Lonchura striata: one gene and its partners. The protein of the gene in region 3 purifies or fractionates together with the protein of the main gene of each other region. This does not show direct contact. Links are inferred from orthologs where the notes say so. Each region holds a gene or a part of one and is shown on either strand. Other genes may lie near its edges. The genes, in order: ANAPC2, ANAPC7, ANAPC13 and CDC27.

The links.
Region 1: the proteins of ANAPC13 (region 3) and ANAPC2 purify together in Homo sapiens (affinity purification with mass spectrometry; 3 studies listed by BioGRID and IntAct, counting the BioPlex papers as one, with this or other methods). This does not show direct contact. The link is inferred for Lonchura striata from reciprocal best matches to the Homo sapiens genes ANAPC13 and ANAPC2.
Region 2: the proteins of ANAPC13 (region 3) and ANAPC7 purify together in Homo sapiens (affinity purification with mass spectrometry; 3 studies listed by BioGRID and IntAct, counting the BioPlex papers as one, with this or other methods). This does not show direct contact. The link is inferred for Lonchura striata from reciprocal best matches to the Homo sapiens genes ANAPC13 and ANAPC7.
Region 4: the proteins of ANAPC13 (region 3) and CDC27 purify together in Homo sapiens (affinity purification with mass spectrometry; 5 studies listed by BioGRID and IntAct, counting the BioPlex papers as one, with this or other methods). This does not show direct contact. The link is inferred for Lonchura striata from reciprocal best matches to the Homo sapiens genes ANAPC13 and CDC27.

The regions. Positions count from the first base shown.
Region 1 is NC_134624.1:4,365,097-4,372,671, forward strand, and holds the start of ANAPC2 (anaphase-promoting complex subunit 2), read right to left. Parts: upstream 3,007-7,575; 5' UTR 2,968-3,006; coding exon 2,902-2,967; intron 2,118-2,901; coding exon 1,498-2,117; intron 864-1,497; coding exon 731-863; intron 1-730. Other genes in the region: uncharacterized protein LOC144247406, read left to right, coding at 3,008-3,059, 3,207-3,406, 5,627-5,749. UniProt on the Homo sapiens protein: Together with the RING-H2 protein ANAPC11, constitutes the catalytic component of the anaphase promoting complex/cyclosome (APC/C), a cell cycle-regulated E3 ubiquitin ligase that controls progression through mitosis and the G1 phase of the cell cycle.
Region 2 is NC_134620.1:12,732,421-12,739,823, forward strand, and holds the start of ANAPC7 (anaphase-promoting complex subunit 7), read right to left. Parts: upstream 3,013-7,403; 5' UTR 2,876-3,012; coding exon 2,775-2,875; intron 1,724-2,774; coding exon 1,537-1,723; intron 1,058-1,536; coding exon 938-1,057; intron 1-937. Other genes in the region: ARPC3 (actin-related protein 2/3 complex subunit 3), read right to left, coding at 5,224-5,286, 6,011-6,105, 6,418-6,544, 6,815-6,883, 7,148-7,224. UniProt on the Homo sapiens protein: Component of the anaphase promoting complex/cyclosome (APC/C), a cell cycle-regulated E3 ubiquitin ligase that controls progression through mitosis and the G1 phase of the cell cycle.
Region 3 is NC_134612.1:6,432,245-6,439,749, forward strand, and holds the start of ANAPC13 (anaphase-promoting complex subunit 13), read left to right. Parts: upstream 1-4,502; 5' UTR 4,503-4,542; intron 4,543-5,200; exon of another isoform or gene 5,201-5,255; intron 5,256-5,638; 5' UTR 5,639-5,664; coding exon 5,665-5,763; intron 5,764-7,505. Other genes in the region: CEP63 (centrosomal protein of 63 kDa), read right to left, coding at 45-225, 1,793-1,836. UniProt on the Homo sapiens protein: Component of the anaphase promoting complex/cyclosome (APC/C), a cell cycle-regulated E3 ubiquitin ligase that controls progression through mitosis and the G1 phase of the cell cycle.
Region 4 is NC_134627.1:8,879,629-8,886,808, forward strand, and holds the start of CDC27 (cell division cycle protein 27 homolog), read right to left. Parts: upstream 3,007-7,180; 5' UTR 2,808-3,006; coding exon 2,781-2,807; intron 1-2,780. UniProt on the Homo sapiens protein: Component of the anaphase promoting complex/cyclosome (APC/C), a cell cycle-regulated E3 ubiquitin ligase that controls progression through mitosis and the G1 phase of the cell cycle.

The DNA of each region.
Region 1 (7,575 bases), on a different chromosome or scaffold from region 3:
ATCCTCTCTCATCCTTGCTTCTAATTTTACAAGGGAATATGAAAGAGGACTGAAAACAGCCACAGAAATTCTAATTTTGGCCTCACTTACACAGAGGGAAGACCCTCTGCAGGCCAGGTGACACTTGTTGATCTTGTGGTTTGTAAACTGGAACCACAAAAATTCCTTCATTATTGCAGAGATCATGAGGTGAAATGTCATAGTCCTTCATGCACAGGTCAGAACAAACCTTCCACTCCAACATCAGCCAAAATGAAAAGTTTTAGCCACCTCTTCTGCTAGGCATGGTGAAGTCATAGCCCTGGATCAGGTGTTTTAAGTTGGAATGTGGTTTTAGCCTGAGCAACAACACCTGCACATCCTTATCACTCTCTACAACTTCCTGAACGGTGGCTGTAGCCAGGTGGGGGTTGGTCTCTTTCTCCAGGCAGCACTGACAGAACCAGAGCACAGAGTCTCAAGCTGTGCCAAGGGAAATTTAGGTTGGATATTAGAAAGTTTTTCACAGAAAGGGTGATAAAGTTCTGGAATGCTGCCTGGGGAGGTGGTGGAGTCACCATCCCTGGGTGCATTTAAAACAAGCCTGAATGTGGCACTGGGTGCCAGGGTTTAGTTGAGGTGTTGGGGCTGGGTTGGACTCGATGATCTTGAAGGTCTCTTCCAAGCCAGTGATTCTGTGAATTCTGTGATCTCCCAAGGAGGACTCTCACTGCCCCCACACCTGCCTTACCTCCTGGAACTCGTTGAGGAAGGAGTGCTCGTACTCCCCGCGGCAGCGCTGCTCCATCCTCTCCTCGATCATCCTGTGCAGGATGGTGGTGACAGCATCAGCACTCACCCTCTCCAGCAAATTCAGCCGGCGGCTGTGGGCACAGGGACACCGTCAGGAGCGTGTAGGAGCAAAGGCAACAGCAAATCAAGAAAATCTTATACCTGAAGGCACCACCCTCCCTGTACATTCCACAGAGGCAGGCCCAGCTTGGGCCACATGCTCTGACAGCCCACACAGATGCACTACATATGTAACACACATATGCCCAAAATGCTGGGCTCTGGAGCAAACAAGTAACACATGGCACTACTGCTATCCCATCTTCTTTACAGACATTATATAAAGCCATCAAAAGCTTTTTCATTTAGAAGAGTTTCATAGAATCAGAGAATGGTTTGGGGTGGAAGAGATCTTAAAGATTACCTAGTCCAAACCCCTGACATGGGCAGGGATACCTTCCACTGGTTTGCTTCTTTGTGGTCAGAGGCCTCAGAGCAAGAGGAGGATATTCTCATATCCAGGGAGAGGAATTTTCTGTCTAAAGATCTGCTCTTCAACCACCAGTTGAAAGCAGAAAGTCCATGTCGAGTTCTCTACCTGCCACCACGAGACAGCCTGACCTCACACAGCTCCTCCTGTTCTCAGGGACCAATAAAACCTGCTACTGCTCCCCATCCAAACACCCCTTGCTCCGAGTGACAGCCACCACCCCATGAGATACCTACAGAATGTCATTGAGCTGCTGGAACTTCTCCATGGCTTCAGGGCACCAGCACTGCTCCCTCTTGCTGCTGCAGCCTGCACAGAGCTGGCCCTCTCCGCCCTCCTCTGGGTCACTCTCCTGCTCGGTCTCACTCATGCTGCTCTCACACTCATTCATTCCATCTTCTCCTTTCTTCCACTGCTGCATGTATATCCTGAATGTGCGGCTGTAGAATTGCTGGATCATGTCCTGGAAGGATTTGGTTGTGGAGAAGAAGAGGATAGCTTTGAACATGGTGTAGACCTTCTCCTGCAGCGTCTGAGCGCCTGTGCCCAGGAGCAGGCCTGCCTTGGTCCACTGCTCCAGGAGCTCCAGGCTGTTCAGGTAGGGCTCCAGGTGGCACTTGAGCAGACTGAAGGCGTCCAGGAGCAGCGCAGCGCACTGGGGTTCCTCGGCCGTGTTCTCATACTGGCCAATGCAATTCCAGAACTCGGGGCCGATATTCGCCTGCAGGTCAGTCTGCAGCACCTCGATGAACCACTCCTCCACGATGGAGTGCAAGTCATAGCACTGCAGCACGTCCAGGGCTGCCCGGAGCTCGGCATCCTGCAGCGGCCCTGCAGCTTCAGGTCTTGGGGTTGCCTGGAAAATGGAGGGAAAATGAACTAAGCATTTGATGGAGCACACAGGGACTCTGCTGTCAAACTGCACTGGGGGGATGCTGCTCCTCTGTGGTGATCTGCCGGGGTCTCAGCACCGCTGGATGCCAGCATCCCCTCCCAGTGCTCACACCCGCACACATCATTGCTGTCCCTGCGGGTAGCTGCTGCAGGACACAGGTGCTGGTGGAAATGCTGCGAGCCACCCTTGGCTGCCCAAAATGCTGGGGGCTCTGGAGCAAAACCCTTCCTTGGCCGCCAGCTCCCTCCGATGGAGCGGGAGCAGAGCCACAGCAGGGCCGGGCAAGCTGTGGCCTTTTGGTCCCGCTCCTGTTTGGGGTGACAGGGAGAGAGATGGGGCCGGGGCCCTTCGCTGGCAGCCCCCAGCAGACACCACCCCCACACCCAGGAGCCCGTTCCCCTCCCTGCCCCGGCCGTTCGTCCCTCAGCTCCGGCCGTTCCTCCCTCAGCCCCGGCCGTTCCTCCCTCAGCCCCGGCCGTTCCCCCCAGCAGCTCCGACCGTTCCTCCCTCAGCCCCGGCCGTTCCTCCTCCCTCAGCCCCGGCCGTTTCCCCCCAGCAGCTCCGACCGTTCCTCCCTCAGCGCCGGCCGTTTCCCCTCAGCCCCGGCCGCTCCCAGCCGCCCCGCGGACGCAGAGCCGCAGAGGCCCGGCCGGGGAGGAGCCGAGGCCGGAGCATCCCGGGCTCGGCGGCTCGGGGCTGCCCGGGCCCGGCGGAGCGCCGCGACCCCCGCGCGGTCCCCGCTCACCAGCCCCAGCGCGGCGGGCGGCACCAGCGCCGTGCTGAGCGTGTGCCAGGCGGCCGAGAGCTCCATTCGGGCCGCAGGAAGGGGCGGAGCGGCGCCGGCCGCCACGATGAGCGGCGCCGGGGCCGCGCTGCGGGGGCACCACGCGGCGCTGCGGGAGGGTGAGCGGGCCGGGGCCGGGGCCGGGGCCGGGGCCGGGGCCGGGGCCGGGGCCGGGGCCGGGGCCGGGGCCGGGGCCGGGGCCGGGGCCGGGGCCGGGGCCGGGGCCGGCCGGGGTGGCGGGCCCGGCTGACCGTGCCGCCCCGCAGGGCTGTCGGAGCTGCGCGCCCGGCGGGACGAGCTGAGCGGGCGGATCCGGGCCGAGGAGGTGGAGCGGGGCCGGCTGCAGGCGCGGATCGCGACGCTCACCCGGCGCTTGTCCGACACCAGCGAGAGCCTGGCGGGGCTGCGGTCCACACGAGCCCACATCGACCGCACCATCGCCGAGATGGACATAGCCTCCGGGGAGGTACTGACAGCGAGCAGCGCCGAGGGCGCTCGGCGCGTTCTTGAGGCTGCAGGAACGGGGGGGACATCGCCCCGAGCAGCTGCCTCGGGAGAGGAGGAGGAGGGACGGCAGCGATCTCTGCTGTCGGTGACCAGGGACAGGACCCGAGGGAATCACTGAGTCAGAATAACCTGAGGTGGACAAGGATCACCCAGCCCACCCCTGTCCCTTCCCAGACCCCCAAAATCCCACCCTGGGCATCCCTGGCTAAAGGCTCCTGGAGCTCTGGCAGCCTTGGGGCCGTGCCCATTCCCTGGGCAGCCTGGGCAGTGCCAGCACCTCTGGGGGAAGAACCTTTCCCTAAGGGTGTGTCTGGGAGGTTTGGCATATACACATCTGTATGTATGTACGTAAGTGTGAACTCCTGCTGTATTTACCTGAAGGTCGGTTGGGAGCACCTCGATGAACCACCACTCCTCCCTGGGTCGTAGCACTGCAGCCAAAACAACTTCCCAGGCCTGGGATGCAGCTCCAGCATACAGATCCCATCACAAGAGGGTTGGGTTGTGTTTTAGTGCTGCTTGGGCTTGGGCAAAGTTTATTGTCCAAATACATCAAAAATCTCTTTTGGAACAGACCCCTAAAAATTACCATCTCAGACCCATGGTTTGGGGGAAAGGAGGAAACCAGTGAAATTACACTGACCCACAATCCTACTATTCAGAGAACAACGGTGCTGATGGAGTTGTTGGCTTGCCACTCTTCCAGCCCAATATTTAGTATAGTTTCTTTCATTTTTAATGGAACAATGTCATTAAAAGAGTCAAATTGTTGGGGTAGTAAAGGGTGGGAAGGAGGCAAACAGCACGAGGGCTGGCACTGTCATTTTTGTTCCTGAGACAGCTCTACTCATTCCCCTTCCCTGTGTGTGTTACTGTCAGGCAGCACTTGATCCCCACAGACAGGGCCACAGCTGAAGCCACTTCTGTATTACACACCAACAGCTTTTATTTCTTTAAAAAAGGATTTTCCCGGCCTCTTTTCAGATAAGTTACCATCTTCCTTCTCTTGGTGACCAGGCAGAGTTGGTGTCAGAAACACTATTTCCTTTATTAGCTGCTGCCTAGATTCTCCTTCCATTTGCATTTTGAATGTGACCAACTACTGTCAGCTCCTTTTCCTCTCCCGAAGTCGGTGCTTTCCCCTGGCAATTCCTCAAGTCCTTCAAGACCTGATGGTTTGAAGTGAAAGGGGAAACTCTCATAAAAATTTAAAAGCTTAAAAACTATGTTGTAAGTACACAAACAGCCCCTTTAAAAAGAAACCTTACCTGAGATCCAAGTCACACCCCCAGCCTACAGATGAATTCCTGTTTATTGAAATGAACTGACACTCACAGGAGGTAGAAAGAGGTGGTGAGGAGGAGATGCTGGTGTTGTACACACAGAAATTAACACAGTTCCTCTCCTGGTTTGTCACTCCTTGCCTTCTGCCAGCCCCCACAGGATTTCACCTTCTTCCAGGACCTCATCCTGTGGGGCACTCCCTCAGCTCCTCTCAGATCCCTTGGTGAATTCCACAATCTCACAGGAATATAAATTATTTTTGGGACTGTAACCATCACATTTGGTTACAATTGTCCACTGTGTTAAAATTTTTAACTGGTGAGGTGGACAGGCAGCAAGATCTCCTAAATATGCTGTAGTCTAGAGCATAGGAAGTAGGGATGTTACATTATGTACACTGTGTGCTAAAAATAGGAGAAAATGAATAACAGATCTAGTCTGACATAAGGTCACTGTAGATTTCAGTTAGTCTTAAAGTTGGAAACCCAAAATGTGCAGTTTTAATAGTGGAAAAGAGTTGAAACTGGGTCACCTGAGCACAATTTAATACTGGTCTAAAAAGCCCAGATACCAAATCTCCCTTAAAAAAATCCACCCAACCAACCAAAAAATGCCAAACCAAACAAAAACCCCCCAGTCCGCTTCAGGAAGTTCTCTGCCTTGTGCTCCAAAGCAGATAAATTGCTTAAGGCCTTTCATATTCAGAATATGAACACAAACCAGAGAAATTCTCGCACAAATATTTCCACACTGAGACAGAATAACAAATCACCAGGAATTAGAGGCTGAAAGACTGGATAGCCCCTCTTGCTGCAAGGCAGATCAGCTGAATTGGAAGGGAATTCATAAGAGAAACAGTTTATGTAAAAATAAGCTATTTTTATTTCTTTCCCAGATACTGGACAATTCTCAGACATTGCTAGATGTCATGAAGAAGGAAATGGGGGATCTTGGTAAAGCCATTGATCCACAAAACACTTCATTAGGACAACAAATACGTCGACAAAAGCGTTCCTAAACTTCTTCTTCAGCCTGGAATGTCCTGTTGGCCAGAGAGAGCTGCTTTGTGGTGCAAGGATGCCACATTTAATAAAAGCCTGTGCTTTGCAGAAGCAAATTTTCCTTTCAGATGTGCTTTGGTATTAGTCAGAGACCCAGTAAAGCAGATCCTCCAACACTACATGTCAGGGTAGGCATTTACACACAAATACCTGTGCTTCATTTGGAGCACAGCGATCCTGAGGCACATCCCAGGCGGTGACCCATCAGCTGATGCTCCTGCCCTCAGGACTGCCCTCACTCTGCTTTGCCCTGGAGTACCTGGGCAGGGATTAGAGCAGGAGGCTGGGAAGTGCAGAGTGCTGAATTAGCTCCAAGGTGGAGCAGGATCACCAGGAGAAGGAGCAGAGAGTCAGCAGCACGCTCTGCACTCCCACACCCCCGAGAGCTGCCCTGCCCACAGGGCTGCAGGCACAGCATTAACTCACAGAGAACCAGAGCAGTGTTTGAGCTGCAGGACAGTGTTGGCTTTAGCATTCTTTAGCATTCCTCATGGATCCATAGGAGAACTAAGCCAGGGCTAGTTCAGATTCCTTGTCCCTAACTTGAGTTGAAAGCAGCTTTGCTTTACCACCTGCAGTTTTGCAAGAAATAGAGCTGCCTTAAAGTGAGCTGGGCTTTTCAACAGGGGAAGATGCTCACTAGGACCATTTTTGCTAGAAAAGCTGTGCTGAAAACTCACCCCTTAAATCTAGCTGTCAGCAGCAGTCTCACATTTTCCCTCATTCTACACCAGTCTCAGCACCTTGCCCTGATTTTATTAACAGGAGAAGCCTCAACACATGGAACTCCATGGTCCTTGTGTCAAGTCCCAGGCAGATGCACTGCAGACACATCTTGCTCCCGGCAAGTCACACCAGCAGATGATCTCAGATTAGCTTGGAATGGACAAGGAGGTGCAAAACGCTTCTTTGTGGCCCCCCAGCCAACATCTAAAACTACTGAGTAGCTCTTTTTTTTTTTTTTTTTTTTTTTTTTTCTCCTTATCTTTCCAAAAGTATTTAGGCACCCAGGGCAGAAGGGAACGGCTACAAATAGGTATGTCCTAACATTTAATCCTGTGGTTTTCAGTAGAACAACCTTCCCTTGCTGCTACAACAAGACACCAAACCAAGTGCAAGGTATGCAGATCATTTTCAGTCCACAGAGCAATGTCACTTGAGCAGACATTCATCATCCAAAATAGACAAACCAGTAACCATCAAATTTAATCAAAGATACCAGCCTGTTCGTTTGGATGACGCCCCACTCATTCCATAAAGCCCAAAGAGGCCAGATCTGTTCTCACCACATCTCTTTTAATCCCAGAGTACAAATCACATTAGCAGCACTGCTCCATCTGTTCCAGAGTGCAATTTTGACCCTGAGTTTACAGTAGTAGAAAACTTGAATGGAAGATTCTAGCAGATTCCTTTGCATATTGGCTGCATTAAACAATTACAATAGAACTATAAAAATCCTAGAAAAAACAAAAATAACCCACATTCCTTGTTCAAGTTCTGCAGAAGGAGTGAAACGTCCCTCCTGTGCTTTGACTAGAGGAGCAGAGCAAGTGTGGCTTGAAGGATGTAACCAAGAGAGATCAATCAGATTTGGAACAAAGCAACAAGAGGAACTGGCAAACTGGAGCACAACCAGCAACTCCCAGAGACTGGATGCCAGAGTTGGGAAGGACAGACGAAAGCTATGGCCAATGTTTGGGAATCTTCAAGAGGCTTGAGACAGTCTGGACACTTCTCACTGATTGGTGCAGAAATAACATCTAAAGCTAAAGGCATTCATTGC
Region 2 (7,403 bases), on a different chromosome or scaffold from region 3:
GAAGCTGTGGCTTCTTTCTGAGTACAGAAATAAAATCTACATCTTTTGTATGTGCACTGTGCACCTTAAAATGTGTGTTTTGCATCAAAGAAGTCAAAAGATGGGCAAGTACACGGTGCCAAGAAGGATCTGTATATCCATTAATCAGTCCCTTCCAGGAGTCCCTCTGTGTCCATACAAGTGTTTGAATTAGCTTAGCAAGTCAGAGAAAGTTTCCATTCAGCTCCTGAAAGGAGCCATGATTGACCAAAGAACAGAAATTATCTGAGCTCCTCACAACACAAGTAGCTGGTTTCTGCTGCAGCATTTTCATTTGCTGGTCTATACAAGTAAAAAGTTTGCTTTTCTCAATCTTTTCTTCTTTTTCTGTTTTGCAAGTTGGTCAGAACACTCAGACATTAACTGGAGTTTAAGCCATGTACACTTTTAGGACAATTTAACATGAAACACAGCTGACTGATCTGATGTGTTAATCTTTTAAGCCCTTCTGAGTAACAGAGCCAGCGAGGAAAGACTCCACAGATTTGGCACTGCAGACCACAAAGGGATCTAAATATTTAACATTATCTAAACTGTTGTTGAACAGGATTAAAAGATTTTAAAAGATGGAGCACTAGCAAACTTTCTACTTGCCAAAGTCTCCAGCCTTTCAAGGATTTGGCATTGCCCCAACTATACAAGAAGTTAATAAAATGCACAAAACATTTATTTCCTTCTTTTTTTTTTTTTTTTTTTTTTTTAAATTCCTTCTAGCAGAGAAAATACAAAATTGTTATTATTTTAAAGAAAAGGGTCCATATCAGCTAATTTAAGATTAGGAAATGATACCAAGCAATATTTAACTAATGAAGAAGACATAATGCCATTAAATCTACATAATATGTTCTACCCTATATACACTGACCACGAGGCTGTGACAAAAACCTGCCAGATTTACCTTTGGAGTTCTCTGCCTGGAAGGAATCCCATCAAGAATAGCAATGGCATCTTTATCTTGCTTCAGCATTGTGTAACATTCAGCCATTTTGTATTTCACTTCAATTTCTGATGGTAAACACTGAAACAAAAAATAAAATATTTAAATATGATGTTGGTTCAATCAGGTATGAAAAATTTCATAAGGTTTCCTCATAAATATTTATACTGTGTTGAAAAATAACTGGTGCATGTAAGTTAACACTGCAACTCACTACTAGTTCATATTATTCTTGTATTCAAATTAAAAGTACAAAGTACACATACAGAAAAATTTAATGCTGGAGATCATTTTAAGTTTTGCATTAGAAAGCACCACAGATATTATCCCACTAATTAGCCTTAAATGTCAGGTTTATTTGATAAATGAACAATCTAAGGTGGTTAAAAGACATGTAAAGGTGATGCTCAGGGATGTGGTTAGTGATGCACTTGGCAGAGGATTCAGCCTCAAGGATCTCTTCCAGTGAAAATTGAGTCAGCAACATGAAATGGCAGGGGGAACGTGATCGCTTGATGCAGCACATTATCAATTAATAATTATTATCAATTCTTAAATACCTGGCTTTGGGGTGTGGATGCAGCATTCCCAGTAGAAGGCCTGACTTTGGAGGTTTTACTTAAGGCTTTTTTCTGCTGTAAGGCCATGGTGTACTTGCTGACAGCATTCCTGTACTCCTTGTCATGGAAGAGGGAATCTGCGTGGTAGACAAGGAGCTGGTACTTCTGAGAGGGAGAGAACAGCTCCCTGCAAGAAATACACACAGAGAGGCTGAGATCAGATGGCTGCAAAGGAATCCAAACCTTACAGATCCAAAGTATTTGTAGCTTTGGTTTGTGTGGCTTCCATTGCAACTGCTGCAGCTCCTCCACTGCACTGAAGGACCACTGAGTAACAGCTTTGACTCCTCACACAGGGCTTATCTCACCAATTTCTTTTATCTGTAAACAAACAAACCCAACAGCCACTCCTGACACCTCATCAGCAACAGCAGCTCAATGTTTGGCTGCTTGGGCACAGCCCTCATCCTTTCTGTAACAAGCATGGGGCTGTAAATATCCATTACACTGCACCAACTTTCTCCTAGGATTCATTCACTTTTTATTAGGTAAGGATCCAGCATTTTGCCCATTCAGATTTTAGAACAGGCTTTTGTTTGAACTCAAGTTTAAAAGAACAGTGTTTTGTTTGGACTCAGGTTTAAAAGGCAACCCAGCCTGTACAGCAGTTGTGGTCCTAGTCCCTGTTCCTACATTATAAAAACCCCTAATATAATATTGTTCTGTGTGCAGAACAAATGACCCAACTGTGGCCTTCCAGGACCTGAAGGGAGCCAACAAAAACCATGGAGAGACAATTTATAAGGACCTGGAGTGCCAGGACAAGGGGGAATGGCTTCACACTGACAGAGGGCAGCTTTAGATTGGGTATCAGTAAAAATTATTCCTTGTGAGAGTGGGAAGGCCCTGGCAAAAGTCGTCCAGAGACGCTGTGGCACCCCTTGGAAGTGTCCAAGGCCAGGCTGGACAGGGCTTGGAGCAACCTGGGATAATGAAAGATGTCCATGCCTAAGGCAGGAGGGCTGAAACAAAACAATCTTCAAGGTTCCTTCTTTGCTGATTCTGTGATTCTCTGCCATGATACCCACGCTGTAGTGGGCACCACAAAGGGGCGGTGATGCCGATACCCGAACAGAGGCGGGCTCCATCCCCGGCAGGGACAGGGACAGGACAGGGCCCGCCCAGGAGCGGCCCCGCTCCCTCACGCCCCTCACGCCCGCTGCCGGCGGGGCACTCACGGGTTATTGCCGCTCATGGTGAGGAGCAGCCCGCTGAGCAGCCGCACGTTGGAGTGCAGCCCGGCGGCCGCCATCTCGCGCACGTGCTCCACCACACTCATGCTGCCGCCGGCGGGGCGGAGGGGACAGGACGGGGCGAGGGAGGAACCGGGAGAGACCCCGAGCGAGGAACCGGGAGAGAGCCCGAGCGAGGAACCGGCCCCGGCGCCGCCGCCGCTCCAAAATGGCGCCTCGCAGGGGTCCTCGCGCGCCGCCGCCCGCAGGCGGCCGAGGCGCTGCCCGCGCGGCCCGGCAGGCGCGCGGAGGGCAGCCCGCGCCGAGGGGCCCTGGCGGCGGCGGGCCGGGCGTGAGGGGAGCCGCTCTGCCGCCAGGTGTGAGGAGCGAAAGAGCCTTCCTGCTTCCCGTGGCAATACTGGGGCACCAGCTAGGTACTCATATGGAAATGGAAGTTAGGTAATTGCTCTGTTTGTTTTCTCTACCCCACCCATGCTGCCGTTCTAAGACGGAAACCTGGGAACCATGGGAGCGTGTTTTCGGGGATAAGGACACCCTCGATGGAAACCTAAACACAGTAGAGGGGGCTGGGCAGGTACGGTTCGCTGGCTGAGGAAGAGGGAACCACATCCCTGATCGACGTTTGACCTGTCACTATCACCTACATAAGACTGGACTGGAGTGGGCTGTGGGAAGCAGGAATAAAGAGGCAAGATTTTTGTGGTGTTACCAGGAGGAAAGGACAGTCTGCTGATGAGGACTTCAGCCACAGACTGCACACCTCTTCACCCTTCAGCTACCAGTGTGCCACAGAGACTTCAGGGACAGACTCTGCACGCCTTCTCCCCCTTCGCCTACCTGGAAAAAGCTACAACAACGGGGGTGAGCTCCGTGTCGAGCCCCCTGCCCAGCTGATCTTTTTAATAAAGAGCTGAACATTAATAAAGGCATAAGCCCTGTTCATTTCACCAGACACACACTGTCCGTGCCTCCACAGCTCCTGAGTCCAACCCTTGTCCTTCTGCCAATATGCTGATTGTTGGAGAAAAACCTTTCAAAACCTGTATTTCTTCTGGGAAATGCCTCACTAGGCCTTCTGTTAACTACAAGGATAGACTGAGAGATGAATAATAAACTTTATTTTCCCACCTTTGTTACAGAAACATTTTAAAACATGGGCTACACTATTCCTAAAAATGGAATCAGTGAGAACTTTCAGTTTGCACATGCCATCACTGCTATTGGGAGAGGAACGCAGCTCTCAGCAGACAAATCCAGCAGGCAGCAAAACATCAGCACTGGGCTTCAGGTAACACTAAAAGTGTGTTAGTGCTGTGTGGTGACTGTGACACGCATCCTGCCATTGAGAGACAAAACCTACATAAACTAAAAGTGGATTTGTATTCTTCCAGAAATCCCCAGGACAGCCACTTTTTACCAGTTTGTGAGTGTTTGAATGCACCATCAGAAGGCAGCCACAGACCCAGCTGTGTGGGATCTGTGTTACCCTGTAAAGGCATTTTGGGAGCACAGCTCTGAGGAGACAGACTGCTAAACAAACAGGTAAATGGCTACAAACTGCAGGCCTGGCACTTATCCCAGTTTTCAGTGAGAATGATTCACTTCCTACTGATTAATGTTACACAGTAATCATGGAATCACAGGATGGTTGGAAGAGACCTTAAAAATCATTCCACCCATGGGCAGGGACAACTTCCACTATCCCAAGTTGCTCCAACCCCCATCCAACCTGTCCTTAAACACTTCCAGGGATGGGGCAGCCACAGCTTCTCTGGGCACCCTGTGCCAGGGCCTCCCCACCCTCACAGGGAAGATTTTTTTTCCAGAATCCAATCTAATCCTGCTCTCTGCCAGTTCAAAGCCACTCTCCCTTGTCCTGGCACTCCAGGCTCGTGTTGGCTCCCTTCATGTCCTGGAAGGCCACAATTAGGTCACCCCAAAGCCTTTCACCAAGGAGAAGAAAACCTCTTTGATTTCTTTGAAGGCTGTCCATAAGACACACAGTAGTTACCACGTTCATTACAAGCAAATTTTATTGAAAACAAGGTAAAAATCACTGCACTGGACAACACAGCGTGAGAGGTCTGTTTTCCCTGGACACACGACACCCAGACTCCAGCCAGCAGAGCAATGACACAGCTCCCCTGCCCCACAGCCAAGCCCACTTCTTCTCTTAAATACAAGCCCTGTTTTAAATGCTGTAGCCACGACTACAAAGCACCTTGCATCTGAAACAGCACGTTAGAAATCACTTATTAAGCACCAGCTTAATAATATTTGCTTACACAACTTATCTTTTTGTTCTCCCTCTATCACTCATTGACAGGTTTGGTTTTTTCTTTTTTTTTTTTTTTTTTTTTTTTATGTATCCAAAACAAAGGCAAAAGACAAAACATCTTGCTGTGGAAATGCTTAAAGTTGTTGCCACTTTGCTTCACTGCCCAGGGCCTGAGAGACTCTTGTTCATGAACTGCCTCTTCACAAAGCAGATCCACCACTGCAGAAGGAAGTACAGAGTCAGAAAATCAGAAGTGGTTTCCAATGACTGAAGTATTCAATCTCTGACACAAAACAAATATTTTACACATAGTTTTACACACTGGTTTCTACTTAAATTGAGGTGAACAAGACAACAGGAATGGACACAATGAGTTCATATTACAGGACTTATGGGAAATTCTACTTTGTCTTATTTTACTTTTATTGTATTTTATCATAAATGAGGGATGCATCAGGAAGCTATGCCTTTGAAAGTAAATTTGCCTAAGTGATTTTGACACTAAATGCAGTCACATTTGCACATGAAACATGTGAACACTCAGGAGGTGACTCATTCATTGATTAGCGATTTTTTCAATCTGGACATGAGGCAAAACAATCGACTTCAAAGCAGCTCTCACATCAGAGCTGCAGGGAAGAGACACAGCACCTCTCCTGCTTGTGAACTCCATTTGCAACCCCAGCCACGAGCAGATGTGCAGTGCTTTGAAGAGCTGAACCAGACACCTCTTATTACTGCCCTGCTTTTGAAAGCAACCCAAAGTGGCATTCACTGTCATATCACATTAGATTAAACTTATTGATAACTTGCAGCTGCCATTTCACTGCAGAATCAGACAGGCTTGGCTGAAGTTTCTCACCCCCTTGTCTCACTTCTCACGTAGCTGAACAAACTCCCCCAAGCTCTCACTAACTCCGTGCTGATGCCACTGAGGTCTCACCTTGCTTGGCTTGTCGCTCTGAGGATCAAACACTTTGTCACAAAGGCGAAGGCCGGTTTCTTGCCTCAGCTGCTGCAGGTAGGCCCTCATCACCTCTGAAAGCAGCACAGCAAAACCAAGCTAAACTGGGCAGCACCAACCCAAACTGGATTTAACAGGGACACATCAGACATCGCTGCTTAAAGCAGAGAGGGAGTTTCACATCTGCAGGCACTCCCAGCTGGCTGAGTTGATTAGCTCGATTTATCTATAGAACCAGGGGAATCCTCAAGGTCAGAAAATCCAGCTTGTGCTGCCTTCAGAAGACAGACTGCAGATTTAGAAGATTTAGGTTTAAAGTAACTAACTGCAGTCATAAAAGTGCAGTTAATCAAGTGTGACCCTCAGAGGCCCTGGGTCAGCCTTACCTTCCTCCTGCTTGTTGGCAGGTTTGGCATAAATGGCGTTCAGTGGAAAGCCAGGCTCCCCTGGGATTGGGAAGTTAGTGATTCCTAGTGTGTACATTTCCTTCTCTCCCTGGCCTTTGGAGTTGCACTGGAAGAACCAGGCAAACAATGGGTTAGCAGTTATGAACAAAAACTGACACAGCATTAGACCCAAATATTTTACAAATCTGGAATATGAATACTCATCAAGAGCAACACAGCACATCCACAGCCTTGAGGTATTGGAGGCTCTGACAACTGGGACTGGGGTGAACAGGATTATCTGTTCCCCTGGAAGGAGAATATCAGGAAATCCTTTCCTTAGAACAATTCTCAGAACAGACTGTTTCCCACCTGCACAGGAATTCAGTTTTCTTACCTTTTGCAGCTTTTTCAGGCACTCAGAAATGTAGAGGGTCACATAGATCAGTGTTCTGTCAGCTTCATTCTGCAAAACAAGAGCAGGAACTCTTAGATGACAGCACTTTGTGGAACTGATAAAGTCTGAAACAGGAATTAATTCAAGCCATTTTGGGCTATAGTTTCCCCATGAGAGAGAGATTTGCAATTCATGACATTTACCCAACTTTAAAGATTAAGTGGAAGGGGAGTTTTTGTGATCTTCTTAAAATTACTTCCTTGAAAATAAATTTATATTCACAGAACCAACCCTCCAAAGAACTAGAATATACTCAGTATCTCAAAAAATTACCTTAATTTCATAATTTTTGAAGAAAACATTAGCTTTGAAGTAGTAGATGGCTTCATCTATAATATCTGTGTCCTTAGCTATAAAGAAGAGATAGAGTTAAGGAGTGCTCTGTTACACTACATTTGTCATAACTTTTACTCATTGAAATATATAAATAAGGATTACTGCAAGAACAAAACCATGGTATTTACAAAAAGCAGAAGTCAGCACCACGTAACAGAAAACTTCTGAAACACCATGAGTTCAGACTGTAATA
Region 3 (7,505 bases):
CACACTGCTGACTCCAACCAAAAAATAGTATGAAACAAAGGTACCTCCTTTTGTTTTTCCTGCAGAGCTGCCTTGGCAGAGGAAAGTTCCTGCTCCCGAGCACTCAGACAAGCTTCCAAAGCCTGTGTCTGCCCTTCCCATTCAGATTTCTTGTGAGCCACCATGATGTCTATCTGCTTCATCAGCTCCTGCAGCTCGGCCGCACAGGAGGTCAAGAACCCACCGCTGGAGGGGAGAGAGCCTGGAGTTAAATAAAGCAAGTGCCACCCACCACGTCCAGGGTCCCAAACCAATGAAGGCAGCAAACACACTGACTGGCACAAGGCACCAACCCTGCACACACAGTGAGTGCTTTGACCTCTCTTTAAATCAGCTTGCACACAATAGAATCACAGAATCATTAAGGTCAGAAAAGACCTCCAAGATCATCAAGTCCAACCTTTTACCCAATACCATCCATGCCCATGTGCTAAACCACATCACTTCACACTTAGGCATTCAGCCTTTTGCCTTGGGTACTGTGCATTATGTAAGTAAACCAAAGCGTGTTTAATTCATATTTTGTATTGCCTTAACTGCTCTCCAGGCAGTGGCATTTTATAGCAGGTTTCAGTCACCAGAGGAATCACAGCCAAGCTATGAGCTCCCAAAACCAGAAGTTTATCACAAATGCAGACAAACTCTGAAGCAGAGGGGCCTGGATGACAACATGATAATGAAGGATCAAACCCTTGCAATCCATCGGGGAGCACAAGCTCCCTAGCGATGCCCAGATTTCTAATTTGGTGCATAATTATTGAAGCCAATTCAAGTAACTCCTCTAAAAGTTCCCAGCTGCCAAGACAGGGACAATATTAAGGTTTGCCAGACACAGCCCTAGAGGGTGGTGAATTCCATAATGATCTCTACCCCTTTAATTTGCCTGTCAAAGGGAAGAACTGAAAAGAAATGGAAATCGATAGGTTAAGGGATAGAAATTTCTCTGTTCCCCCAGGGCCTATGCACACTTCATTACTTGGCACTTTTTCTATAGGAAAAGAAATACTTCTTAAAGGAGCCAAAATCAGTCACATTTGAAGTTCACCCTGTCCTATGAGTTAACCAAAAATTAGCAGCTATTATGCAGAGCAGGAACATTCCCTTCACAGCATCTGCTAATATGTAGCAAATTCTAAACTTGATTTCTGCAACCAGCTCTCTAAAGAAGATACAGTATCAAATAAATTTGTGTCACATTCTCAAGGATGACTAGGAAAATGGCATCAGTGACTTTTGTTTCACGGTTGTTTAACACATAAAGCATTTTGTTCTGTTATTGTCACTACAGTCTCTCTCAGGGATCAAAAAGTCTAGAGATTCTCACCTCAGACACAACATTAAGGATTCACTCAGAGCTGAGTGGGACTCTGCAGTTTCAACACAAGCAGGAAATAATCAGATGTTTTCAGTGAAATCAGATAACAAAGTCACATCTCATTAACCTTGCGAGGCTGTTACAAAATAAATATTTATTCACAACTCTATTTACTACTGCTCCTGATGTTGGACAGTAAGAATAGTTTACAACAACAACTGAGAAAAAGAGGCTGAGGTTTCAGGAAGATGTACAACTAAATTTCTGACAATTAAGACTATAAGCAGGGTTTAGCACAGAGCCAGCTCCCCCAGTGACTTCGCTTCTGCAGCAGCTGAGGGCCACTGCACACTTACACCAGAGGATTTATTCTGAATAAGAGGCAAGGTTAACACTTAAATCATTTGGAATGACTGCTGTGTACAGTTGCATACATACCTCCCCTGCCCATTTCTTTGCATTCCTTCCAGCAAAGCCTCCATCACTGAATCCTGGTGGCTTCAGTACTAGGGAAGTACAGGAAAGCAGTGGTCACCCATGGTAATGCACAAACCAGGCTGCTTCTCCATCCAACTGCAGGAAAAGTGGAAGCCCAAAAAGCACAGAAGTCAAAAAGCATACAAAGAATATGGAATTACAGGTGAGGAAAACAATGGCACCTTCATGAACTTACAAGCCAAACAGAGGAAAACAGATTTTTCTATCAGAAAAATATACCCAATGCTATCATCCAACACTACCAAATTGAAGTGATATAATCATGTGATCTAATAAATTCAGAGAGCAGCAATTAGACTCTGCACTTGTGTGAACTCAACAGAAGGACTGGTAGATCTACTGGGAGCACCAGCATGTGGAGAAACAGGAACATTTGGATTTCAAAGTTTGTCACTTCAGAGAGAAAACACCAGCAAGTAGCAGTAAGAATTCATCCATAAATTACATATTTTCCAGGCCTCTATTATAGACTAGCTTAAAGAGACCATGTAGTTTACCACAGCATTCAGAACACACTGGCTCTTCATACAGTTGTGGGAATTTTAAGAAAACATAAATTCCTTAAAATTTCCTCTTAAATTATGAAAATAAGTTGAACAGCTTTATAGTAGCAGTACATTGCTTCAGTTAAAAATTCACCTTTTAAGTAACAAACACATGCATACCCAAAGAAATTTCATATTGTGGTGAAAGTGAGAAGAGTTTACATTAAAGCCAAAAATGGGGAATAAAAATTTTCCACGCAACCAGAGCCAGGAAGCCAGAATTTATTTCAATATCTCCTTCATGAAACTGCAGCTAACATAAAAATGGTTAACTTGTCCAGAGCTATTAACACAAATTTCTGTTTCCAAAATCTACACATTTTCCAAGTACTGAAGATTAATTCTTCCACCATCTTTCCTCAAAGATTAATATAACATTATTAAGCAATCAGCAAAAGGGGAACAGGTCACAGCAAGGGAGACTTTGACAAATGCAGGCTCAGCTTCATTCTCTTTCCCAAAGAATCTTCTATCGTGCTCCTACAGCACTTAAAAACACAACTCAGAGATTAAAACCTGTCCTTGGGAGCAGTGTTTTAAACCACAGCCATATAAAAAATGCACAGAGAAAAATCCTATTCCTATTCTGACACTGTTTCATCTGTCTTTGGTGCTGTAACAAAACTCAATCAGTATGCAGAACAACTTTGTGGTTCTGCTGAGGGCAGGGTGCTGAGGAGAGCAGATGAGCAGATCCCCTGAGCTGCTGACAGCATTCCAAGAGCTCTCCAGGTGGCCACAGCAGACATTAGACAGTAGCAGCTCTCCTCTTTCATTCTAATCACACCTACACAGAATCAATTTTCAGTGGGCAGAGAGATGAGGAGACAGACAGCATAGAATTCCAGAACAGTTTGGGTTGGAAGGGATCTTAAAGCCATCTCATGCTAAACTGCTGCCATGGGCAGGGGCACCTTTCACTATCCCAGGTTGCTCCAAGCCCTGTCCAACCTGGCCTTGGACGCTCCCATGGGAGGCACAGCCACAGTTGGCATAGCCAGATTTTGGGGAAAAGCCTTAAAATCAGACACCTCTAGCCAGTTCTATGCTACGTACAGTTTGCTGACTTAGTATTACATTTTGGCCTCTCATGCTTGCAAGTTGCAACGTGCAAGTTACAGGAACCTGAGTAAAGACCCAGAAGAGGAAACAATCTCCTTCATTAACTACAGTTGAAGGAAGGAAAGCTGGCTGATCACCTCTGAAAGTGAAGAAATGTGAAGTATTTGAAAAAAAAAAAAAAAAAGTCCAAAACAAGACAACACATTTAAAAATAAAAAAGGTTTAGCATTCCAGCTCAAGGCAGAACTGTAGCAGAGTGAAGTGGAGAGAACTTTACAATACACAGGAGGACTTAAGAATAGTGCCCATGCGACAAGACTGGGATTACTTCGCACTTAGAAACACAGAAAGATGCAATCTTAAAGCGTTGCTGGAAGCATGCTTACAATGAACACAAAAGGAGCTCCCAAAAGCAATACCACGGGCGAGCTCCGCTTGCCAGCGGCAGGAACGGCACCTGCGGCAGGAGCCCGAAGTGAACCAGCCCTCGCCAGGGCGAGAATCTCAGAGTCACTGAGCTCGGAAAAGTCCTCTGAGACCATCAAGTCCAATCTTGTGACCGATCCCCACTCTGTCACCCAGCCCAGAGCACCGAGTGCCGCGTGCAGTCTTTTCCTTAAACACCTCCAGGGATGGGGACGCCGCCGCCGCCGCCCTGGGCAGCCCTTTCCAGTATCTAATCACCCGTTCTGTGAAGGAATTGCTCCTAATGTCCGGCCCTGGTGCCGCTTAGGTCCGTGCAGCGGCCGGGGCCAGCGGGCCCGGCCGGCACTCCCCGCTCCCGCCGCTGCTCCCAGCCGCAGCCGAGCCCTCACAGCGCCTGCCCCGCGCCCGCCGCGGCACAGCTCCGCTGCCCGAGCCCCTCCGGCGCCGCGCCCCGGGGAGCTCCGCTGCGGGCTGCCCGACACCCCGGCGCTGGCTGGCCGAGCCGCCCTCCTCCCTTCCTTCTTCCGTTCCTTCTTCCTCCCTCCCTCCTTCCCGCCTTTCCCACCCTGGCAGCGGGCACGGCCCGGCCCCGCCCCGGCAGCGCTGCGCATGCGCTGGGGCCGCGCCTGCGCAACAGCGGCCGCGGAGATGGGCAGGGTAGGGCGGGCTGGGGAGCGCGGGGACAGGGGGGCACAACCCTGGGATACAGCCCTGGGACACAACCCAACCCTGGGACACAGCCCTGGGACACCGCGGGGACACAACCCAACCCTGGGACACAACCCTGGGACACAGCCCTGGGACACAACCCAACCCTGGGACACAGCCCTGGGACACAACCCAACCCTGGGACACAGCCCTGGGACACCGCGGGGACACAACCCAACCCTGGGACACAACCCTGGGACACAGCCCTGGGACACCGCGGGGACACAACCCAACCCTGGGACACAGCCCTGGGACACAGCCCTGGGACACCGCGGAACACGGAGCCGTGCTGGCCGGGAGAGGCAGGGAGCGCAGCGCGCCGGGGCTGGGGTGCGCTCAGCCCCGTGCCCATCGCCGCCCACATCGCGGCTCCGGCAGCCGGCGAGTGCCAGGCCTGGCTCGGTTTTGAACGAGTGCCCGTTCTCTCACACCCGCCAGGGTCGGGCTGCCTGCTGCTGCCGCCCCGCAGCATCACACCGGGGCGAGGGCCTGAGGTGATCCTTCAAGGAGGGCAGAGTACAGTTAAACAGTCTGGAGTAATTATAGGAGATGCGGGTGAAAGATGGGTCTCGTTTTGCTTCTCTTTCACCGGTTTCCTGCACTTCAGGTTCGGGCAGAATTCTGGGTACCCTGAAGTCCTTTGTTGTGACTCTCCCAGACAGGTGAGGCACGTCACTGCTCAGGAGCTGTAAGCCAGCAGCCAGCAAAGGCTTCTGAGCAGCTCTAGGTGCTCAAACTCACTCAAATTAGACTTCTAAAAGTCAGTCAGTAGATATAAAATACATGTAAATATCAGTAATAACCATCTGGTTTTATATATTAATTTCCAGTGCATATCAGTCTGCAATTCACTTTGATAGAGTTCTTTTCAGATGAAGTTGTTCTATGTGGTTATAACCCTTTTTTGTGTGGATTAGGGAAATCAAGGTATCCTTGTAAGTTTAAATTTCATATGGATTTCATCAAAACTGGAGCAAGCCAATAGTCCAGACTCCAGCTCCTTGGCTGGGGATGTTGCTAAAACAGCATCTGCTTTGTGTCACAGATTTAGCTGCTCTCGCCGCTGTGACGATGGACAGCGAGGTGCAGAGGGATGGCAGGATCCTGGATCTGATCGATGATGCGTGGAGGGAAGATAAATTGCCCTACGAGGATGTGGCCATCCCTCTGGTAGGTGAATTGCTACTTATCAATCTGAGTTAAGGCTGCTGCGTTCATCACAGTCCCTTCCAAGAAAAGGCACAGAATGTTCCTCGTGGTGCGGCTAATTTGTACAAGAGGCTCCTGGATCTCCACGGAAGATCCAGTCTCTCACGGAAGGGACTCCTTCTGTGCCCTATATGCCAGTCATTCCTGAGTGCATGAGGACATGGATGCTTCTGTTGCTTGTCCCCTGACCAGTTGCTGAATCCTCTCAGAACTGGAGTTCCTTTCCCATTGCACTCTCCTAGGTTTGGCATCAGGGAGAAGTAGAATCATCCTTTTTCTCTGCTTCCCTTTCTTGTTCCTGGTGTTTGAGGTACTTTCCTGGTTGTTGGGAGAGCAGAGGATCAGTCTCACATACAGTTCCAGTCTTGGTTACACTTTATATCTGCTTCCTGCAATGCCATTAAAAGAAGCTGAGACATTTTCGTAAGTGTTTCAAAGCAGTCTTTTCCAGATTCAGTGTTGCTGTTGGAAGTTCCGGGACAGCAGTGAAGGACTGGCAGGTGCAGCAGGACTCTTGCCTGTGGTGATGTGTCCAAGGCATGGCACCTCTCTTTTCATCCAGGGTACAGCTGCAAAGTCAGAGAGGGGCAGCAGGGGAAAAGCTACTGCTGATCCCACAGAGCCCAGAGCTAAAGCTTCAGATCTCCCACACTGACACCTTTCCTTGGCTATTTTGAAACTTACAGGGAAGTTAGAGGTAGCTGAGGATTTTCCCTTTTTCTCTCTGGTACACGAGCTTTACCCCAGCTAGCTCACATAAAGCAGCCGTGGGGATTGTGGGGTTTCTTTCAGCAGAGAGACATCTCCAAATTTGTGGCATGGTTCAAGCGTCAGCCCTGCCACCACTGGCTTTTCAGAGAGGGCGAGGAGCAGCTGCACAACTCAAAGTCCATATGTACAGCACACATTTTCCTGCCAAGAGTTGGGCTTGAGGGAAGCATCTTGCAGAAGCGTGATTCTCAGCTAAAAGAGCACAAACCCTCCTTTGCCTTTATTAGGCAAGCCGAGTATCATAAACAGGTTCCTTGTTGACAATTGCCTTTACCCTGAGTCCAAACATTATTGTTTCTTCCCTTAGAGCCATCTCGTGATGGCTTACAGTCACATACAATGACAGCCTCAGAGAAGGAAGCCTCACCAACTACCAATAGAAAGGCCTGGCTGTGGATATAAAGATCCCCAGAGATGGGATTGGCTCTGATCACATAGAGAAAACAGCATGAATTCACAGGGGACTTACTCAGGGACATTGCAAAGGAGCACCAGAATGGCTGTGAAAGTGGTATTTGAGCCTGTCCTGAGAATCTGCTCCAGTGCTTAATCAAGCCATTTCTGGGAACTCAGATGTGTTCAAATCATTCATTGTTTTCAAAGCTGAAACACTTTATCTAGCTCCAGCTGGGATTTCCAGAGGAAATTCTAGAACTCTAAATTCTAGAACTCAGAATTCCTGCCCAAATGGTATCTGGCAGAATAGCACACACTCAGTGTGACTACACCAATACAGCAAGACAGAGAACAAATAATAGAAGGAAGTAAAATGAAATCTGTTAAACTTTCCTTCCCTTTACTGTGCTGTGAGCAGCTCTGGGGCACACCTGGCAGGGGGTTCTGGCTTCTGCTGTTGATCCAGCACAGCTACACCTGACTCCAGCATACAGACAGGAAGGACTTCTAACCTGCCATAAGAAAGTAACATTTTA
Region 4 (7,180 bases), on a different chromosome or scaffold from region 3:
ATAATTGTTCATGAGAACAGATACCTAAACCATGACTGTGTCTCAAAAAAGAGGATTTCTTGCCCACCGTCTAGGACAGGAACATTAATCTCAATATAGCACAGTAATTTATTTTATTCTAGAAGAAGCACAATGCATATACACAGCACTAGTGGTACACAACTGCTAAACCACACAGAACAGTGTTCTCAGGGCTGCCTCATATGAATGAGAAAAGTTGGAAGTGTTTCCACATTTTATTCAAGTGTGCTTGCAGAGAGGATGAACCTCCAGGTCTTAATCACTCTTTTAAAAAATAATTAATTTGAAATGCAAAATTAACAGGGAATTCCAAAACTACCATACACAGCCCTGCAGCAAGGCAACTTCAGAAAGGGGGGCAGGAAAATAAAATCAGATTCAGAAAGGTCCATCTTCTACCCAGAAAATCCTGTGCATTGTCCAAGTGTCACTTCATATCTAAGCCAAATAGCTCTTAAGAGATGTTCTCGTCTGACAGTTATACAACCTTGGAAATTGTTTTCCAAGCTGTTTAGCCTATATTGCCACGCTAAGCAGATTCTGCCACGATTTCAGTCTTCGGGGTGGGCAGGGAGGAGGAAAGCTCCAGGATGGGCTGTGCTGCATTCCCCAGTTACACAAACTCTGCCCACTGAACATGTTGGTCCTGCAGTTTGCAGCCAAGTTCAAGCACCATTCCAGTGAGTCACAGCAGATGATCACCTTGAACAGCTCAATTCCAAGCAAAGTGCTCATTTTCTTTCCAAGATGTTTTTCAGAAGTATTTGGAAGGCATCCAGCCTGTTTCTTAGCACATGGGACACATGGATTTATGTTGGAGCTGAAGGGTTTTAAATTGACCGTATCCGGAAGTACAGCACAGGGCTGTAAACTCTGGCACTCTCTTCAACTGAAAAGAATTTTAAAAGTTAGCAAAAACCTAACCAGTGGCCAGAATGCCTCCTGGTGCATGAATTTCATGTAATTGAAGCACAACATTTCTAAGGCTACATACAAACACAAATTCTGTTATTTATCTGTCACGCTGTGACAAATAAGTAACATCACAGCTGTGAGGATGTGAGGATGACAGTTCTTTCCTGGAATGCTGAGCCCTGTAGACATCTGAAAGGCTGGGAGAGAACAGACAAATAGACAGGAACAATCTCTGCAATGACAAAAATCAGAACTAGTGTCAACTTTCCCAATCACTTCATTTAAGAATATTACAAAAACAGAGCTACGTATGTGGACTTCAGCTAAACTGGGAATTCAGAAATGCAACGGACTTCACACAGTCACAAATAATTCCTAAACTTACCAGTAACTCCTGTAAGCAAGGAACAGCAGTAAAACTGACAGCAGCAGAACTACTGCTAAAGGAATGATCTGTCATTTAAAAGCAGAATCTAAATAGATATATTAACATAGCAAAGCCTCATCAAAACATCCAAGCTGGGAAGAGGTTAAGAATGGAGAACGTTTTGGATGCATAATGATGCAGAACAGAGCATTAGAGCGGTCTTCACCTTGCTGAATTACCACAAGGCCCCACATTTCTATCAGGGAGCACTCAGGAGAGCGGACATTTTCACTTGGTCAGTCTAGTTAGCACAGCACTGGAAACATTTGGTATTGTTTCCTGTCAGCTTCACTCGTTCACGCTGCAGTGTGATCTTGCTTCCTTTTCTGTTCTAATCCCATGTTTTCCTAGAATGCCCAGCTGGTGCAAAACCACCAGCCCAGCTCGACAGCTGACACCAGTGATGTAGGATGGCCTCGGCAGGAGAGGGACCAGGTGGCCAAAAGCATTTCCAGCACTGCACGACCCTTGCTCTCAGAGGGGATGAGGAGAGCGGTGGCATCAAGGACACAAACCCCTGGTCTACAAGAATGCCCTCATTGTCACCATCCGCCACAGACAGGGCCAAGTCAGCAGGATGGTTTGCCACAGGAGCCTTTCCTCCCCTTCCACCTTTTCATTAGAAAGAAAAGAGCCAAAAGCAAGAATTCTCACTATGTTCATCACAGAACACAGTCATACTCCAACAAGACACTGCTGCCAGGAACTAGAAAAAAAGCCCAAAACATCCTGCTAAAATGCTAAAAATAGACTTAAAAAGAATGGGAATGTGAATGAGATGACTGATTAATGAAGATTATTAATAGTTAGAGAATGGGCATACAGGAACTGCAGAAAGAAAAAGCAGCTTTTAATTCCGTGAATCACGACTTTTGGATGGGAAGGCTGAGCTCAAGAACAGGAAACCCATCACAGTAACTGCAGTGAGACTGAAACACGAGAGAAAAATGAAATTTGCATTATTTTCTCTCCTAGATCTCCCATTAATCCGAAAAATCCAACTCCTTGGGCAGAAGGAACGTCCTTCACTCGCACGACACAGAGGGATCCGAGCACGCTGCGAGCATTTAAACACGACACGGCAGCACACGCAGAAAGGTGAGCGAAGTATCAACAGGTCTCCCGGGGGATCGGCGGGGCCCTTTCCCGGAGCCGGGTCGGCGGAGGAGCGGCGGGGACCCCGGCACCTCCCCCCGGGGCCCCGGGGGCAAAGGGGCGAGCGCGGCCGGCCCGGGGACGGCAGGGAGGCTGGAAGGGGAAGCTCGGCGGGCTCCGGCAGGAGGAGGGCGGAGGAGCTGCAGCTCCAGCGGGCCCACCGGCCGAGGGGCCTCCGGGAGCGGCCCGGAGCCCCGGCCCCGGAGCGGCCTAACCCGGGCCGGGCCAGGCTTTGGGGCCTGAGCCGCCCGGGGGTCGGTACCTGGACGGGTTCCTGCAGCACCGTCATCCTGCTCTCCCCGGCCTCCGCCTCCTGGTCGCCGAGCCCGAGCGGGGCGGCCCCGGTGCCGGCCCGGCTCAGAGCGAGTCACGGCGGGGCCCGGCCCGACCGCGGCTCATTTGAACCCGCACCGACCGTTACCGGAGCGAGCGAGGCCGGCGGGCGCCGAGTCCGCCCGAACCGGCGGCGGAAATAGCCGAACCGCCCGCCGGAAATACCCGAAGGCGGAGGCGGAAAGAGCCGAGCGTCGACGGAAAACAGCTGGGAAAGGCGCGCTCGGCAGCCGGGAGGAAACTGCTCGAGCCGGAGATGGCCGAAGTGGGGCGGAGATGGCCGAAGTGGGGCGGAGATGGCCGAGCCGAGCCGGAGATGGCCGAGCCGAGCGGAGAGGGACGAGCGTGTGGCGCGTCCCCCGGAGCGCCCGTGGCCCGCAGAACTTGCACTTGGTGCCGCAGGGTGGGCTCGGGGGATGCCCAGCTCTGTCGCGAACCCCTGCGTCTCCCGGGGTGCGCGTGGTTTGGCCAGCGGCTCCCGTGTCCCCGCTCCCCGTGTCGGGTCCAGCGCGGCCCGGCTCTGTCCCCGAGGGCTCCGTGCTGAGGGGCTCCGCGGTGCGTCCAGCCGCGGTATCAGAAATCGCAGGGTCATGTTGAGAAACACCTCCCAAACCATCGAGCCGCCTTGGCCATAGGCCAGAGCACTGAGTGCCCCTCCCGTCGTTCCTTGGACATCTCCCTGGGCAGCCCCTTCCAGTGTTTAACAACATTCTGTGAAGAAATTCCTCCCGATGTCCTCATATCCAGGAGTAAAACTGGCAGACCACAAAGCAGGTAATTTGCCCGTTACAGTATCTGACACACAAAGCTTTAGCAAAATAATGGAATAAAGATGTACAAGTAAACCCCAATTTATTAAATATACTGACCTATCAATAGCTGCCTGCAGCTAGCAGAGGCCTTCCTTGTCCAAATCCTGCTGTGGGCTTGCCGTAACCCCGATGCACACACACCTAACTCAGACTCTGCTCAGGGCTTTGGTCAGATCCTGATGTGCTGCCGAACACGCGTGGGCAGGGGCTGTATCTTTATTTGAGAACAAAAGCTGTGTGTGGAGCAGGAGGGGTCAGCCTGCCCTCTTCCCCTGCACTTCTGGAAGGTGTACTTACACATTTGGTATTGGCAGCAGATCTGCGGGTGTTTGCGCTCAGGGTGTGAGCAGGCAAAGCTTTCTTCAATCCTTCACCTGAGACAAATAAATTTTAACTGCAGGGTAGTGCTGTCCCCTGGGATGGACACCTGGTTTCCTAATCAGGTCGATCCAAGTCATTTTGCCAGACAAAAGGAGGGTGACAGCAACATGAAGTGTCTCCTCCTCTGAAGGCCTTTGGCCTCACTTGCTGATGGTGATGATGGTGGTGTGTGACGTGGTCTGGGGCTCCAGGAAGGAGCTTTTCAAGGAGCACAGTCCATATTCACCCTCCTCCTGATCTCATGCACTACAGATAACTCCTCCTGGGGATGAAAGCTGGCTCCATCTGTCTCTCCCATTCCCCAGGGCACAGAACTGACATCCAGACCTTCTTTGGTATGAGAAGCTGTCTTATCAAGCCTGAGGAGATACAGGCTCTCCAGAGCGTGGGGGCTCCTTGTACCTCTCCTCAGAGTCCCCTGGAATTCATGTAAAACATCCAAACTGTAAAAGGTCAGCATTTGCTGTTGTCTTTGGAGATTTGGATTTACAGAGACTCCTCAGTCCTACAGTGCAGTTCTGCCTGTGGGGTCACTCGCTGGCACCCACAGATGCTTTTATAAATGTCCATGGGACTAAAGCTGCTTTCTCTGTGGAATCCTCAGCTTTTCCAGAGGAGGGGAGCAGCCTTGCCAGGGGAAGAGGCATGGAGGCACAAGCAGAGGTACAGACGTACACACTGAGCCTGTTCAAGTGCATCATTCCAGCCTGCTTTGCTAAGCCAGCTCTGCTTTATAAAGAGACACAACAGATCCCTAAAGTGTGGCTGGCTCTTCCCTCTTTTCCTGTAGTTCTGTCATTTCCCACTGCTTGCTTCCTGTCTCTTTGCAGGTCTCACTTTGGTTTTAATTCAGTGTTACTGCTTTCACCATGGAAGCTGGGGGCTCAAACACAAGGTTTGCACAGAGGAGTGAGAGTGCAGCCTCTTGGCTTGCAGGGCAGGGGTATCACAGCTGTAGCGGGAATATCACGCCTAGCAGGGATATCAAGGCTAGTAGGATATGGTTGAATATTGTGGCTACAGCAGGGATATCATTGCTATAGCAGGGATATCGCAGCTCCAGGGCCCCCAGTCCCTGCTGTGGATTTCCACCTCTCCTCTGCTCAGTTCCTCTCTACCACAGCACGTTCTGCTGCAGGAGTCAGTGCCACAGCAGTGACAGGGACAGACGTGACCCTGGAGCGTGCAGCAAGCAGGCTTCCTTCTGGCCCCATCACCACGGTCCTCTAGGAGGTTAAAGCACAGAGTGCATTAAAAACATGAGGTGCCCAGATCCTGCCCAATGGAAGCTGTAGGAATAGCACAAAGAGCTGCTCAAATCTAATCTTGCATCTATAAACAGCTTGTGTTGCTTTTTATGAGCAGTAGAATCAAACAGTGGGAATTGAAAGCAGCTGTTACTCAGCCACTGCACAGGAACGAGCAAAGTCAACATGTCAGAGCAAAATGCCTTCGATTTCTAGTCAAAGACAGAGTGAGGACATTGGAATAAGGAACAAATCAAAGGAAAGTGTTTGCTGCTCCCAGGTGTTCTGCTGATGGGAAGGCTGAGTTATGTGTCATGAATTATTCACTGCTTGTGGTGATGCTCTGAAGATTGCTTTGCAGGTAGGAAGAGGGAGAGAGCCACCAGCTTGTATCACACAGCCCCCTGAGAGCTCCTGGCTGGAACCATCTGCCTGGAGAAGAACTGTCCAGGGAGCCCATCCCAGGCAGGACATTACCCACAGCCCATGGGCCCTCACCCCATGCCATGAGGGTGGACCTGGCCCAGTTTGGCTGGGCCTGGATCTCTTCTTTCCCCATTTTTCTTCTCCCTTGCTGATTCAGCAGGAGTCAACTTGCTGAAAACCTTCAAAACTAGACTTTTGGATGTCTCATTGATACAGAACAAAGAATGTTTTTCATGCTTTTCTGATGTTTTGGGGGTTTTAAGGGTCTTTCCTGACTGGGACAAGCAGTGCATTGATGATCCTCACTTACAAGTCTGAACTCTTCCTTTTCATTCCCTGCCTTTTCCCCCTCTCCGTGGAAATACCCTGTTACCTCTGAGAGCTGGTGGAGACCAAGGGGTCTCCTCCACCCACCGTATCAACAAGTAGCCCCAAGCCAAGGCAGACAAACCATTTAAGGGAGAAAGGAATAAAATTTAATGAGACAAATGTCACAGAGAAAACCTGAAAAGAGTAACTTGAGGTTTAAAACCTAGTTGCAGATGCACTGAGTACCAGGCTCAGGTACACACACGTGGTGTGTGTTTTGCTTTAGGCAAAACATCCCAGGGAAAGGACATGCATGGAGGAGTCTTGCTCTTCATGGTGCTCAGGTGGGTCCAAGCATTTCTGAGAGCCTGGGAGATAAGTGGGGAGGTCTGAATGCAAAGAATCTTTGGGATGAGAGCATTCAGAATACTCTTTCTCAGATGAACCCAAAATGTCAAAAGCTGTAATTCAACACCATTTAAAAGAGCTTTATATGCAAATAGTTATATGAAGAATTAAATCTTCTGTCAGACTTTGCCACCCAACCATCTATGTTGCTGAGCTGATGAACAGGAACCAGAAAGAAATGGATTAAAAAGGAGATAAAAAGGATGCTGAGCATTCAAAGTTCAGACTTCCGTCTGTCTGCATTTTAACCTTCTGATGCTGAAAGAGATTTTGTGAGGGAAGAGATTTTTAAATGTTTAATTTCTGTATTTAGCACTATCTGGAGGTCATTTTTACTTCCCCCCCTGCCCCACCCCCCCAGCCTCATGCCTTTTACATAGCTGAGGGATAGGAGAAATGTTTAGAAAAGTAAATAGATAATGAAATAATAAGAAATTGGCGGGGAAGCTGGGGCCAGGCAGCAATTTGGATTTTCTTTTCAATTTAATACATTTTAGAGGGATAATTCAACCTCAAAGAAACTTAACCTGATCCCCTTGGCAATGTTTCTCTGTTTTCCTCAGGCAGATCTTTAGGAATGTGAAAAAGTTTAAGAAAATCTGTGGTACATTTTCCTTATTCTTTGTAACATTAATGGGAATGTTGATATTTCTCATTTCGGAAATTTCCTCTCTAAGTACTAAATATTTTCTTAGCATTCACTGATGCATGTTTAAAAATATTGATTTTCAGTGGCTGCTCTTGAC